Linked DNA regions of Schizosaccharomyces pombe. Changing the gene in region 3 together with the main gene of any one other region gives a genetic interaction. Each region holds a gene or a part of one and is shown on either strand. Other genes may lie near its edges.

Evidence for each region.
Region 1: of rho2 (region 3) and rdi1, changing one suppresses a phenotype caused by changing the other (phenotypic suppression), as found in Schizosaccharomyces pombe (one study listed by BioGRID).
Region 2: of rho2 (region 3) and skb5, extra expression of one rescues a mutant of the other (dosage rescue), as found in Schizosaccharomyces pombe (one study listed by BioGRID).

Annotation. Positions count from the first base shown.
Region 1 is NC_003424.3:1,318,039-1,321,636, reverse strand, and holds rdi1 (Rho GDP dissociation inhibitor Rdi1), read right to left. Parts: upstream 1,913-3,598; 5' UTR 1,792-1,912; coding exon 1,174-1,791; 3' UTR 501-1,173; downstream 1-500. Other genes in the region: TOM complex subunit Tom20, read right to left, coding at 154-202; tnr3 (thiamine diphosphokinase Tnr3/ Nudix hydrolase fusion protein), read left to right, coding at 2,835-3,598.
Region 2 is NC_003421.2:920,968-923,991, reverse strand, and holds skb5 (Shk1 kinase-binding protein 5), read right to left. Parts: upstream 1,359-3,024; 5' UTR 924-1,358; coding exon 501-923; downstream 1-500. Other genes in the region: EKC/KEOPS complex subunit Cgi121, read right to left, coding at 2,046-2,570; THO complex subunit Tho7, read left to right, coding at 2,771-2,777, 2,831-3,024.
Region 3 is NC_003424.3:4,418,086-4,426,997, forward strand, and holds rho2 (Rho family GTPase Rho2), read left to right. Parts: upstream 1-4,605; 5' UTR 4,606-4,916; coding exon 4,917-4,942; intron 4,943-5,026; coding exon 5,027-5,105; intron 5,106-5,221; coding exon 5,222-5,227; intron 5,228-5,280; coding exon 5,281-5,319; intron 5,320-5,431; coding exon 5,432-5,472; intron 5,473-5,540; coding exon 5,541-5,559; exon of another isoform or gene 5,560-5,607; coding exon 5,608-5,700; exon of another isoform or gene 5,701-5,744; coding exon 5,745-5,879; exon of another isoform or gene 5,880-5,926; coding exon 5,927-6,091; 3' UTR 6,092-6,561; downstream 6,562-8,912. Other genes in the region: SPOM_SPAC29E6.09 (uncharacterized protein), read left to right, coding at 1-404; protein nst1, read right to left, coding at 869-4,126; srp2 (guard protein for 5'-capping of pre-mRNAs Srp2/Npl3), read right to left, coding at 7,165-7,752, 7,808-7,907, 7,952-8,025, 8,114-8,183, 8,374-8,442, 8,492-8,516, 8,569-8,574, 8,615-8,651 and 2 more. UniProt on the Schizosaccharomyces pombe protein: Involved in cell morphogenesis, the maintenance of growth direction, control of polarity and of cell wall integrity. Regulates the synthesis of alpha-D-glucan through activation of pck2.

The sequences.
Region 1 (3,598 bases), 3.1 Mb from region 3:
CTTATTGAACAAGATCAATGTTTAACCCTATCAATAAAATCTCGACTGAAATACAGTACTTCTATTTTCAAGATCAAAAAGAGAAAACAAACGCCCGCTTATCTCAAAAATCTAATCATCATAACAATGCTTTTTCAAAATTTAGAAACTTACCAACAGCGGCAGTAGCAAGCAAGGATCCAATAATAACTGATCGCCTCATATTTATCAAAAAATAAAAGATGATTTTTAACGACAGCTGGCTGTTAAAACAACGAGATTTCCAGACTACTTAGTGGAAATCTATAATACGTTAGGAATAGGAACGGATTACACCAAACCAAGTAGGTGAAAGATGAGAGTCTAGCAAATGATGTGCAAAGAATTAGTGAAAGAAAAAGTGTGATACCAAGAAACCAAGTTAACGATGTCTCTATTCTACTGCAGTAAAACTATATTAAGACAGTAGCTTTGCGCTCAATAACTTTTTATGGGTTTAGGATTCATTAATCAATCTTTTAATCAGTGTGAAGTATTAAAATAAAAAGTTAAGTTTCAAGCACTATGTAGGATTTTCTCAAAGTCGAGCGAGATACGTTGAAATGAGTTTAAGAATGAGTTATTACCGTTACAATAGTATTCTAGTAATTCCCATCAAAGGGACTAATCAGGCTAGTTAATAGCTATTTGTATTGTTTTCTATGTACTTCTTTGGTGACAACAAGGAAAAGTGGAAAAGTATAAGATACTTGGAAAAATTTAATCAAAATCTCAAAACTCATAATTTCAGTGAAAAGAATATAGTCGGATGTATATATCCTTCCAAAATATCGCATTTGTAAGCTTTGGAACGAGATTTAAAAGAAACAACGTAGATTGCTAAAGGGGAATATGTGAAGATCATATGTAAGCTATAAAAGTAATTTGCACAACAAAAGGCAATCTCCAAACAATCCGAGATATTTGGGTGAAGTAAAGTTTCACTGAAGAAGGTGGTAAGAAATCGTCATTACCATATTCAATTGTAGTCCAGACACCGATATGTGAAAGAAATTGGTAAGAAAAAGGAAAATGTTTGCTTTGTAACAAAACATCACTATAAATTTCTTTATAGTACTGAATACCGAGAATTTTGAATAACCAAGTAGATTTGAAATTTACGATTTTAAAAAATAAGGCTGGCATAAATAATGACTACTTCCAGCTTTTTGCAACGTCAAAAGCCCAAACAAATTCATGATGGACCACTTTATCATCATCAACAAACTTTCCATTGGCTTCATAATGTCCGCGAGCCAGCATACCTGTAGGTGCCTCATCTGGTTCAGAGGTAAAATCATAAGGTGTTTCAGAAGGTCCATAGGAGCCAATCATGGTAGATGTTTTGTCAACAACAAAGCCACGTCTGCGAACAGTTTGGACATATCTTAAGCCTGAAATTACTTCGTGTTGTACACGAAATTTAACACCAATCTTAAACTCGCTTCCTTCCTTAATAGTGAACCCTTTCTTGCGGATTTGTTCGACACTTGCTGCATCTTCCATGTTAACATCAACTGGGTCACGGCCGTCAACAAGTAAACTCAGCTTTAAAATAACAACTGTTCTACGATCATTCGAGGGTGAATAACCTGTTCCCGTGATACCCAGAGATGCTTTCCATTTCTGCAATGATTCATCTTCGGCATCCATCTTCATATATTCATTAAGTGATTTCTTTTCTCCCAGAGAAACCGGAGGTCCATGCTCAAATGTATCATCCTCTAGTTCAGGGTTATGTTGATCAGCGGATACTTCATTGTTAACACTCATTTTAAAACAACGCAATAGAATTTAATTATCTGCCAGTAGCTAAACCAAGGACAATTTGTTTTTATAAAAAAAGTTCAGATTCGTTGTTTTGTTAATGTACTGTTCTAGAGTTGAAATTGGCAAAGGGAACATAGCATATTGCTATCTCAACAATATAACCAGATGTACTACTATGTTAACATTTCGGTGACTTGGATTATTTTAAATATAACGGAGATGCAGAAAAGCGTGAGAAAAGTATAAGATTTTTTTTTTCTTTCTATTCCCTTCGATTTTTTTTTTAGTGTCATTATCCATGCTTTTATACATGTAAATATGTTGGAGTAATCCCAAGCATTGACGTCTTATGAGACGTAAAAAAGAAGGAACTTTCTATGCTAGCTTTTCTGTAGGCAGATGTTCTTTACATGAAATTGTTTGAGCAGCAAGTTATAGCTGTAGTCGATAACTATTATACAACCAGATTTGATACGTTTAGCGGAAAAATTATCAATCACTTCAGGAATTATTATTAAAAAACTTACGAAGGAAGTCCACTGAAAATAAAAATCATGTGAAAGATACGCTTAACTATACCAAACCCTAATTAATTACAAAAACGGCGGTTGGTGTTAAAGTGAAAATTAGTAAGCCAATCTGTGTGCTATTATTTTTAATACCAAGACATTCCTGGCACGGAGTTCTGCTCCCATTGTAATTTTCCTCGTAGACCACACTCTTGAAAGACAATTACTAGATTACCTTGATTAAGGTACTGTTTGTTTAATATCAACTTCTTTTTTGTTTTTAAAGATCATTTTGAAAGGGGTTTAATAGATTAGCATTTCGTTATACGATAAGGTTTTAGTCAACTACCCGATTTCTACTACCAGGAACCAGTTTCCTTGAGCTTTTACCATTTGCTAGTATAGGGTGTTTTATATATTATTCTATTTATGTTGAATTGAACCATAAGTGTCTCCTTCGCATAAATACACTAGCCTTTTTTATTCCTGTTTTATTTTAGAACACTATCCATTTGAGAGGAAAATTTGGGCAAGGTAATGGCAATGTCGTCTATCACCTCTGCTAAACAATTAAATGCCGAAGAGCTTTTAGATGAATGCGATTCTTTTAATGGGGAATTTGTTCCTGGAACAATTCCCTTCCGTGCAAATGGCGCTGCCATTGGATATGTTACCCCTTTGGTACTAGAAATCCTCATAAAGGCGGATAATTTCAAATTCAATTGGGTTTATGTTCCAGGAGAGTATATTGAAATAAACGCATCTACTTTTGAAAAAAGAACTGACATCTTAGCTAAGGTACTGGAGCATTGGCGCCATAACAATACATTTGGAATTGCTGATCAATGGAGGAATGAATTATATACTGTTTATGGAAAATCTAAAAAGCCTGTATTGGCCGTTGAACGGGGCGGATTTTGGTTATTCGGTTTTTTGAGCACTGGTGTGCATTGTACCATGTATATTCCAGCAACTAAAGAACATCCTCTTCGTATTTGGGTACCACGAAGATCACCGACTAAACAAACGTGGCCCAATTATTTAGATAATAGCGTTGCCGGCGGAATTGCTCATGGTGATTCAGTCATAGGCACTATGATAAAGGAATTTTCTGAAGAAGCTAATTTGGACGTTTCTTCTATGAATCTTATTCCTTGTGGCACTGTCTCCTACATCAAAATGGAGAAAAGGCATTGGATTCAGCCCGAGTTACAATATGTATTCGATTTACCTGTTGATGATCTTGTTATCCCAAGAATTAATGATGGAGAAGTCGCTGGTTTCAGTTTATTACCATTGAA
Region 2 (3,024 bases), on a different chromosome or scaffold from region 3:
TTTATTCTAGCAACACATTGTAACCCTACGGGAATGGAACTTCCGTAAAACACGGTACATTCTAACCCTTCTTCTTTGGATAAGAAGATGTAAAGTTATTAGAAGGTTGCAATAATATAAAATAAAGTTTCAAAGAGTTTTATGTAGCTTAACTCATCTCATATGATTATATTTGACAATATTATAGTTTTTCTTGTAAGGTCCATAAGATAGAACATTCATTTCATCCTTATAACAAATCAAAAATAAGTCCCAAGTTACGACACATCCCAAGGTTAGTTATTTACCCAAAGGAGAATTGTATGATAGTTGCTTTAAAGGCGTACATTTAAATAATATTCATAAGAAGCGTGACAATCCGAATTTTTTTCCCGTAACACTTCGGATTCTTATATATAAAGGAGAGGATCCAGAAAATCTTGGAACATAAAATAAGGAATAACATTTTAAAATCAATTTGACAAAAAGAAAAAGTAAAAAGGGTTCAATTCAACGCTCTTTTATACCTCTAATTTAACAAACGTCTCAGGAACAAGCCCGCTTCTTCCTGAGGCATCATCGTATGCAATCAACCAACCATCGCTGGATTCCGACAAAATACAAAGTCTCTGACCAGTAGTAAAACCGAGTTCATTATCATGGAGGGGCTCGAAATCATAAAGCGCAACGGCGTCAGCAAGGACGTTGAAAGAAGCAGAAGGGTGAGTGCTTTCAGATTCTTCAGCATCGTAAAATACTTCCGTATCATCTATTGATTCGGAGTCATCCGATCCTTCGATTGTTTCATCAAAGGTATCATCTACAAATCGCTCCTCCTCCTCTTCAATCACACGAGCATGAAACCCATAGTGCAGTTCATGATCTGGGGGGTACAAGTAATCACGACCCACAACTAAATAATCCTCTTCAGTCTCTTCCGCCATGAAGCAAAAATTGCTAGTGTCACATATAACGATTTAAATTAATCAAAAGAAATCATACGGATCAACGACAGCGTTAAATTTACACTATACTTAGCAAGTCCATAAAAAAACAGGTGTATTGGCGAAAAGTCAACAGATGAACAAATGCTCTCTTCAACGTTGAGTTTTTGTCTTCAAATGACTTTTGAAAAGGAAAAAAAGAAAACAAAACAAATAAAAACAAAAATAAAAGAACCAAAAAGAATGATAAAAAAAATCAAAGCGGAAAATAAAAAAAACGCGGTATTGACGGATAATGACAATTCTGCCTAAGAAATTTAGTTTTTCTCTAATCGGCTGCCTGCATATGATTATATGAATGTAGTTTTAACAGATTTGTACTTGTTAAAATGAAATTTCCATAAGGAAGAGTTTTCGCGTGACTGGGAAACGGATGGCTTGATATCACAAATTCCGGCTTAGCAGTCAATACCGCAAGAAGGCAAGTTAAATCCGTAAATAAACAATTTTGACAAAGAGCTGCCAGTTAATTGTAAAACATACGATGTAAAAACCTTTATTGTTGTATAAAAATAGTTCTTACCTTTGCGACCTGCTTTTCTTTATAACAGGAGCATAAGGTGCGCAATAAAAAACCCATTAATTTATAATCCCATTAAACTTTTAATAACTATTCACATAATGGTAAACTTTTTGCACTGAGATCCACCATATAGTAATTCATCGCCAATAGACCTGAGCAAAAAATATTGCACAAGAACAAAACATGATGTCAAATAACACTAAAGCATTCCCTAGGTAAAAGTATCGAAACAGATAATCGTAATGAAATGCCCTTAGTTACTTTAGTAAAACTGTCAAGAGATCATAAAACTGAACCAAACCAGAGGGCATAACTTTACGTGCCATCCTTTACCAATTCGTAAATCAAAAATTGATTATGTAGGTGCTTGCTAAATAGTTTGTACAGTCATTTGAGAGAGGAAAAAATTATAAGGAATAGAAGAATCCACACAACGTTCCATTTGGAACTCTCATCATTATCATTCAAGCCGCATAGAAAAATAGTCAAATCAATTGTGAAACATTGACAAAAGATCAGATTTGCTAGAACATATGTTTTTAAGAATAACCACGTAGAGCTATCGAAGATAATATAGAGGCCAAAGGATTCTCAAGCGTAGAGGGATCCAATTTGTAATTCTTTTTTAACACCTTGAAGTCTATTAATTTTTGTAACTCTTCGTCAGAAAATTCGACCCTATTACCTTCCACAAGTTTGTCCAAGCGCTCAAATTCTTCTTCTTCTGTAAGTTTGCTATCAATTTTTACCACTACAATGTTTTTAGATTTTTTTGTCATGCTGAATTGTCGGAACGCACTAGAAATTTCGGTTTTTGGGGACAATGACAAAATAACCTCTGAGTGAATCGTCTTAGTTTTCATTTGTTCGTCCCTTCTATCTTCGAGAGCCCTAATAATAGCGCTATAAACCTGCTTTTTATATAGAATAGTAGCGGCATCGAGAAACGCATAGTCATAAATGGGATTCTGGCTTATTAGTTGTTCATGAATCGCAGCACAGTTAGAAACATTTTCATATACAAAAACATGAACTTGTGTCTCTGGAAAAAGAGGTAAAATCATTTTGCCCGCCTGTTCTATAGCAATATCAAACTGCAATCCTTGTTAGCGTTTTTACATTTCTTAGGTAATAATCGTACTAATAACTTTTTGCCGGTAAACATCGGTAAAATACGGTGACTAAAACTCCGAACACTCCAGCTACTGACTTAGCGCCCAACTAAATTGTATAGTGAATTTGCTTTTTTTTTACTCAATTCATTATGGAGGGTATGCTATAAATAATTTTTTTTTTGAAAATATTAAGTTAACCGATATGTCAGAGACGGCGATTCGATCGCGCTTAACTGTGGAAGAACGGCCTTTGAAACGGTTGATTAGTCGGTGTCTTGGTTTTGCTGCTCAAAATGTAGACGAAGCAAACTTAAGGGATTTAGAAATTGAATTTTCTGCTCTCTCTGCTTTTTGGCTTCGATTGCAAATGCAATTAGACATGAATGCTAAAGAAGTGGATGTT
Region 3 (8,912 bases):
GTCCCGTAGAGTTAAAGCCAAATATCACTGCTATAGACACTGCTGAGCGGAATTCTTACCTGTGGGGTATTTTACAGCCTCCCGAACCTTCAGCTGAAGGTCCTTTTACTTGGAATGGCGCTTCATCACATGAAGGAGACATCAATAACAATGATACTGAACTTGGTCTTATAGAGAATCCAATGAATCTCGAGACCCCGAAGATAGATTACGCTACTCCACATATTAAAGAATCTAATACCCCTTTGTTTACTTATAATTTTAATATCTCTGGATTTGACGGTGATTCATGTATCGAGAAATTTACTCCATTAGATGCATTAGGTATAAAACCGTCCCCTATAGACGTGGATGCTCATTTTCAACCAGAAATGCTTCCACCTCTTTTTGAAACCTTTTCGTAGCACATTGGTATTTCTCTTGAAACTGCTTTCTTGAGTTTGTCGTCTTCATACCGTTATGTTTACTAATTATGATTTTAATTTATTTGATTATTTCATTTTAAGTCTTTCCGGAAATTTAGATTTGCATTTGATTTAGATTACCTAATTTTTTCGAGTTTATCGTAGACCATAAGGTCATTACTAATTTACTGACTTAATAATTTAAAATAAGATCAATTGTGATTTTAGCAAATTAATCACTTGATGATACAATTTGCTATTTATTTTTTTAGTACTAAGTCTGAATTGATTACTTCAACTCATGGCGTAAGCCAAAATCTGTGAGTTAGATAAATTGAAGTAAGTAAACAGCAGGCTACAATTTGCAGTTATTAAAATTAAAATAAAACAAACGAAATAATTAAAATATTTATGTACACAAATCTTAACAGAACTAGATAAATTGCCTTCTTTGAAGGTACTTTTTAATCTGTCCAAGTACGATTTCCCCAAGGAATAGATTGGGTAGATGCATTAGGAGTAAATGCGCCCAGCGCAACGCCCCATGGACTTTCGGGAATAAGACTTTTATTGGAAGTCGACCGAGATATTTTCCAGGTGTTTTGATTAAACGCGTTTAACAACTCATAATTATTAGGATTACTAGATTCATCTCGTGACAGACCAGAAGTGGTTGAATTAGAAGCTGTGATAACAGAATCTGTTTTGTCATCTAATAGTGCACGACTACCCATCCTTTCCTCTGTGTTGGACAAATTATTCTTCAGCTTAGGAGAACTCCCTTGACTAGGACGACAAATAGGAGATAGCTTATTTCGGATAGATGGTGACAGTGAGAAGTTATACTGCTCATGTCCTTGTTGATTTAAGACGCCTTCCTTGGATAACGGGGATTTCAAACTTGAGGACGATAAAGGGGAACTAGACGGCTCGTTCAAAACTCTATTTACTAGAGGACTTAATTGTGGACTTGAAAATGAATTAAGCAAAGCTGGTACGTTTGCTCCATTATTCAATGGATATTTATTAGCACGTTGAGAAGGAGGTGTTGCAAAAGGATAATGATGCACCGGTGAATTGGCTCTACTAAGAGAATGCCGAGCATTTGGATTTAATCCAAAATTGTTGGAATTACTTAGGAGTGAAGATGGAGAATGTAAACCATTTGGCTTTCTACCAAAATCAGTTAAGTTTACGGAATTATTAAGTGTTCTATTTAAAGGATTAGGCTCAAGAGAAATTAAAGGGTTGACGGAATTAAAAGATGAAAATAACGAAGAATTAAGCAGATTAGAAGAAGCATTGCGCTCCGATAAATTATTTGTGTTCTTAAGGCCTATGGGAGCTTGCCGCAAAGCATTAGGTACAGAATCTAGGAGATGTGAAGAAAGCTTATCCTCATCGTTTACGAGATCGCCTTTTTTTTCAAAAAGGCCAAGTTGAGAAGAAGTAGTACAACCATCAGAACCCTCTTTAGTCTGATTAGGTGCAAAGAAAGCAGCGATCTTAGCTTCTCTTAATCTCCTTTCTTTCTCTTCTGATTCTTTTTCAAGTAACTCACGACGCCGACGTTCCTCTTCTTCTTTGTCTAATTTTTCCCTTCGCTTCCTTTCTTCCAAAATACGTTTTTCTTCTTCTTCTCTTAGTCGTTGTTCTCTCGCCATTTTTTCACGGTCAGCCTCTTGTTGCTGCTTCTTCAGTTTCTTCTCTCTTTCCTTCTGCTTTTGCTTTTCCTCTCTTTTCTGACGCTCAAGTTCTTGCTGCTTTTTCTCCTGCTCACGCTTCAAACGTTGCTCTTCCCGTTTCTTGCGAGCTTCTTCCTGTCTTTTAGCTTCCAATGCTTTTTGAGCAGCCTGTTCAGCAAGACGCTCAGCTTCGCGTCTTTGACGCTCTTCCTCCTTCGCCAATTTCAATTGCTTCTTTTTATCCCTCTTTTTCTCCTTCTCTCTTATTTTTTTGAGCTCACGTTCCTGTTTGCGTTTGTTCTCCTCCTCAATCTCTTCTAAAAGTTTAGCTTGCCGTTGTTGAGCAACTTTCTCACGATAAGCTTGCAACACACGTTGCTCAAATAAACGGGCAGCAAAAATTTGGAACATCCTGCGTCCTTCTTCCATCCTTTGTTCATCGGTCATTAGATCTAACTCGTCCTCATCTACATCTTCTTCGTCTTCTTCTTCATCTTCGTCATATTCCAACCCGCTTTCGTATAACTCTGGTTCGTGAAAATTGCTATTATCTTCACGCTGCATACGACGCTCAGCTAACTGTTCCATCATTTCTATAAACTTCTTCCCATCATTCTTCAATAGGTCATCCGCTACCGTTAAGATACCTCCTTTCACCGTTAAACTACTCCCGAAGTTATAAAGATCAGAATGATAGCTATTTTTCTCATCTGCTTTAGAGGGATAAGGAGGCTGAAAAGGAGGCTGTGTTTGAGGGGAATGTGAAGTGTCTTCCAATGTCTGATTTCCGTTGCTTATAGAAGTGACGAATTCTTGATTATCCACGTTTTTTTCCTCCAAGCTAGTAGTTTCAATGACTTCTTCATCAACATCAGCATTTGAAGAATTCAACTCGTCTTGGGTTATATCATCATTGAGAGATTTTGATGGTACGTTGTTCAGAGGAATCGATAAAAGCTTAGGTGAATCGGAGATGATTCCTTTCTGGGACTTGTCTGAACCTTCGTCTGAAGCGTTTACAGACTCGGTATTTGCAAGGTTACGTTGAATATTAGCATATTGTTCTAATTCTTCATAGTAAGCATCATACAGTACTTCCAACTCTTCCTCAATTGCTAAACGTTTCCTTCCACACACCGAACAAGAGCATGAGTATTTTTGTTGCTCTTTCATTTTTTGCAAAACAGCTTCTTTTTCGACTTTAACTAACGACCTGCGTTCACTTTCACTTAAGGAAAGCCAAAATTCCCGAATTTGCTCCCGCTCCTCAGTATTCGAACTGCTCCAAATATCTTTGGATTTATTATTGTTAACGTTATTATTCATACTGGCTTGACGCACAGAACCGTTGTAATAAGAAAGCGCTTGCCCATTCCTATAAGTAATAGCAACGTCCGTAGAATAAACTTGTTCAAAATCTCTTTGATCATCCACATTCAACGATGCACTATTTGCTTTTGACTTCTTCTTCTTTTTCTTTTTCCGTTTAGATGAAGTTGACGAACCTAACGCTACTGTATTCAAATTCATATTATTTTGAACGGAGTTCGGTGACATATTGGACGACGTCGCGTCTTCCAAACCAGGTATATGAACTGGAAACTCGGCTTCATCCACGAAACTGGAGGTAGAAAGAATACATTGGGGAGAATGTTCTATGGTATCGTCAGATTCAAGAGTGAATTGCCAATCCGTCGAAGATATTCCTTCGACGTTAATCAACGATGAATCATCACCATTTGCCGAGACCAGCTGCGGATGAGAAATACGAGAATTCAAATTTGAAAGTTCCAAAGACGCTTGATGATCTATGACACCATTATTCGCGCCAACGTCTGTAACTGCAGAATCGGTCCCTGCCGACCCAAGCAAATCCACGTTTGCTTGAGTCTCGACATTTTTCTTGGCTTTCGGTTTTTTCTTCTTTTTATTCTTTTTCTTTGTACCAGAGTTGGGAATAGGTATAAGAAGATCCTTGAAACTTGGAGGTTCTAACCCTACACTGAGTGCTTCGGTGCGAAGAGCTTTATCATTCATGTTTTCTTTTTAAAAATCGCCTACCAACAACGCCTCTTTTTTTATGAGCTTAAAATATGAAACTAACGATTTAAAAAAAAAATAATTTAAATTATTTTTTTTATTCAAATTGTAGCTCACGGGTCTGCGTTGGCAATGTTTTAAGGGTAATCCCTAAAATTCTTAAATGCCGAACTGCCCACCTTTTCTTAGTTCAATATTCAAAAACAGTATACCCCAAAGTACTTGAAATAGTATATCTTCTTAGGGATTTCAACCCAGATGATCCAAATCACAAAGATTTTTGGATTTAACTAGTTCAATTGCTGCTTTGCAGAATGTGGTGAATAAAGCCAAACGGCAAATGGCGTTTTATCATATTTAATGCATCTTAACGTGCAAAATTAGTTCTTTAAGGCATGTTAAGGTGCAATAAGGAAGCGTACGATTCCAATAAATTGAATTTACGATACTTAACACCAAAAGTGTCTATAATCCGCATGGGATAAATGTCACCAAAACCACATTTCTTGAACAAATACTCTTTGAGAAGCTAATTTTTGTGCATATACTACTTTTCGTTGCTCTAATTGAAAGGCTTGGACGTTTGGCTAATCGCTTCATTTGACTATTTCGACAATCGCTTACTCATTTCTTATATTTCAAAAATTCACACCTATTTGGTTTAATTTTTACAGCTTTTCGAACCGGGAAATTTTGGTTGTCTGATCTGCAGTGAATCATTCTTTAAGAAAAATTTGCATAGAAAAAACCTCATACAGTGTTTAATCCGCTCCCTATTAAAAAGTACATGTTGCAATCTCAACCGATTAGAAGGTACGATTCTATGGCCTAATATCTTTTTGCTTCTTTTATTTCTTCTACTCAAATTCATTTTCTTTAAATATTAATATTTTTAAGGAAACTAGTAGTTGTAGGCGATGGTGCCTGCGGGAAGACGTCTTTGTTATCCGTTTTCACTTTGGGATATTTTCCTACTGTAAGTACAGATGTCATAAAAGTGAGCTTTGGCTTATCGCATATTGCACGATACGCAAATACTTATTGTCTTTTCTACCTTATTTATTTATTTATTTACTAACTTACTGGCGATAGGAATATGTAATGCTTTTTTCTCTTTATTTCGTAGAGTTTTTTAATAACAGTTACTATAGGTTCCGACTGTGTTTGAAAACTATGTTTCAGATTGTCGAGTATGTGTGATTAACAAGTTATTGAGCTTTTTCAGTTGGTTACAGAAAGTTACTTTCCCACTGGTCCCTTTTCTTTGGGTTTTGCTAATACATTTGATACTAACTAAAATAGGTTGATGGAAAATCAGTTCAACTGGCATTGTGGGATACCGCGTAAGTACTTTTTTTTCTGATGTTAAAACTATATGTTATGTATTCCTGCATACTAATTCTTGTTTTAGAGGTCAAGAGGAATATGAGGTTTGTTTCGTTATTAATAGTGAGAAATACGTCGTTAACCCAATGCAGAGATTAAGACCAATGTCTTACGCTAAAGCACACATTATTTTGGTTGGGTTTGCGATAGACTCTCCTGATTCACTTGAAAATGTTTCTACGAAGGTTCGTTTCATTAATTGTTTTTTCCAGTCATTAACATTATATAGTGGATTGAGGAAATTAATACACTTTGCCCAAATGTTCCGTTTATTTTAGTGGGCATGAAAGCCGACTTAAGGTCAGATCCCGTTGCTATTGAAGAAATGCGACGTCGAAATCAAAATTTTGTAAAATCACAACAGGTATATATTAATAATTCAAACACGTGAATACTAATTCTTGATATCAGGCTGAATTAGTAGCTCAGCGGATTGGTGCGAGAAAGTATATGGAATGTTCTTCATTGACTGGTGACGGCGTGGACGATGTATTTGAAGCTGCTACTAGGGCAGCACTAACAGTTCGGGATTCGGAAAATGACAAGAGTTCTACAAAATGCTGCATCATTTCATAATTACTAATATCCTAACGATTGCAAACATTCATGTTTCAGTTTATAGGAAAGCCTATCAGTTTATGCGACCTACATTTACAAAAAGCTGATAGACTTTTTTGCTTTTCTTCGCATTTGTTCTTTGCCGTTGTTTCATTTCGTTTTCACTTTCACTTCTGTCGTTTACTTTTTTCTTTTTCTCCCCTATACCTCAAATTTAGTTCCTATTTTATTTTGAGACTCAGGAGTATTATTATTATTTTCATCATTATAATCTTCACGCATCGGTCGAACGACACTAGCCTCCTTTTTCATTTCATTAAGCAAACCGCATTCAGTTATTATTACCTTTTTTTTTTACTCTTAAACATCTTTCATTCTTTTTCAGCATCTATTGTCCTCATGAAAACTACTTTTTGTTTAAAAGATCATAGGACTTTATTTTTAGAACTGCCGCTTGCGCTCATTATGAAGTACAAAATTCATATATGTACATATGCTTTTGTTCTCTTAGGCTAATAGAAAATGTCAGTTTTCCTTATTGATACATTTAATACGTAGGCTCACTTCGCTAAGTAATTTTATGGGGCGGTCAAATTCAAAATTCTGGCTCATTTAAGCTAAATATTAAGACACCGCCAAAGGTATACAACCATATCAAAATTTATCACCTACTAAAGTTTCGAGCCTATTTTTTTCTGGGCATTAATGGGTTGGAAATCAAGACTGGCAAGAGTTAAAGTGGTCACTCTCATCAAACAACTATGTGAAATTATATACCCTTTAAACACCCATACTCCAACAACTAACTTTTCTTCGGGCGTTCACTTCATTAAGAACAACAACCAAAAAAAAACAACCAAAATCCATCCAAATGATAAAGAATGACAAATACGCGGCAAAAATCCGGAACTACACTAAAAATTACACATTCCTTTCATTCTTGATCGTAAGAAAGGAAATCGCCAATAAAGAGAGATAAATTCATACTCAAATACATCACAGACAAAGGATATTAAGACCACAGACATATGACAGGAAAATCTAGTAAGCAGACACTAAAAAATAGTTTACCAAAGGAAAAATTTCTATGTTTACCATTCAGCAGCGACCTGTCCTTCAGCGCTACCGTTACCTACATCAGAATGGTTTTGCAAAGGCTGTTGTTCTTCCGAAGCAGCAGGTTTGTCATATGATTCAGTGGGAGCAGATGACTCCATTGATGCTTCAGGAGCAGCTGAATAGGATTTGGAACCTTCATAGGCAGGGGAGCGATTCTCTTCTCTATCACGTCTAGGAGAAGGACTACGGCTATAAGCGTCACGTCGATACTCATCATCATGGGAAGGGCGTCCATCATCACGAGAACGACGGTATTCGTCTCGTCCAGGGCGATATTCATCACCTCTAGGACGACGATACTCATCATCATGAGGACGACGATAATCACTTCTGGAATTACGTCTATACTCATCGCGACCACCACGACGGTATTCATCACGATTATTACGCCTGTATTCACCACGAGGAGCATAACGACGTTCATCATCTCTGCCGGGACGATAAGCGTCACGACGGTAATCGCCTCCTCTACGATAATCATCACGATAACGACGGCGAGCAGGTGGAGAACGTGAACGGAAGCGGGAGGGTACTTCGGGAAGGGGCTCATTAGCGGCATCCTGCTAATCGTTAGAAAATTTACGCAAGGATCTTTAAAAAAGATTAGATGCTTACAGGGTCTTCGCGTAAAGTAACTGCTTGGCCTTTAATGACTTCACCATTAAGGCTCGTCAAAGCGTTTCTCATATCCTCTTCAGTAGAAAATTCAACAACACTGCATTAAAGTTAGGTGAAAAAATGATCAAAGTAGAAACTTACCCAGCACCAGGGTTTTCACGGTGAGCATCTGTGAAAGTGGGTTCACCAGCTTTACGCATTACATCCTTCAGGTCCTATGAAAAGTGTTAACACTGAAATATAGATATATGAAAAAAATCATGCATTGACGCAAAGGTCATTAAATGTATAAAATTGTCTTACCTGCCAACTGACATCTTCTGAGAGATTTTCCACAATCAAACGGAAACCGGTGCGACGGGGACGGGGGTATCTGATACGTTAGTATAAAAATATTGCCGTAATTTTTATAGGACAATGCGATTTTGCAAGCGATAACACCGTATATAGTCACTACTCAGAGCTGATTCACATGTGAAGTGAACAAAATCGTTAGAACCAGCAATCGCGTGCAATGCCAAATCGCCCACTAATCACATATTAATGGAAACGTAACAACGTACTTAGAAGCAGCACTTTCTCTAAAGTTCTCTCTTCTTCTTCTTTCACCGCGAGCAGGTTCTACAACAATACTTCGAACATTAGCATATTTTAATCTAAATTCATAATGTATTGACTTACCGGCTGCCCATAAACTCTTTGCCCTCTTTTTTATAAGATTAGTAAATAAAGTCGAATATTAAACCTTTGAAGCATACGAAAGTCTAAACTGTTAGCAAAAGTTTTAAGATGGTATGAACGTACCATTTACGATATCACGAGCATCGCGAGCGTCTTCAACCTACATCAAGTTAGTCACATAGGGATTACAAAAAGAAGGCTAATGGTTTTATTTACCTCAACAAAGCCAAATCCATTCATCAGCTTGCAATCAAGGATTTGACCGTAACCTTTAAAAAAATCCATCATATCCTCGCGAGTCGCTAAATTTTTGTTAAAATACTATTTACATTATTTAGTTACAAACCTTGAGGAGGAATACGGCCAACAAACAATCTAGTCTCCGACATTTTTTTTTGGTGTAGTTGGTTCTTGCTGGGTG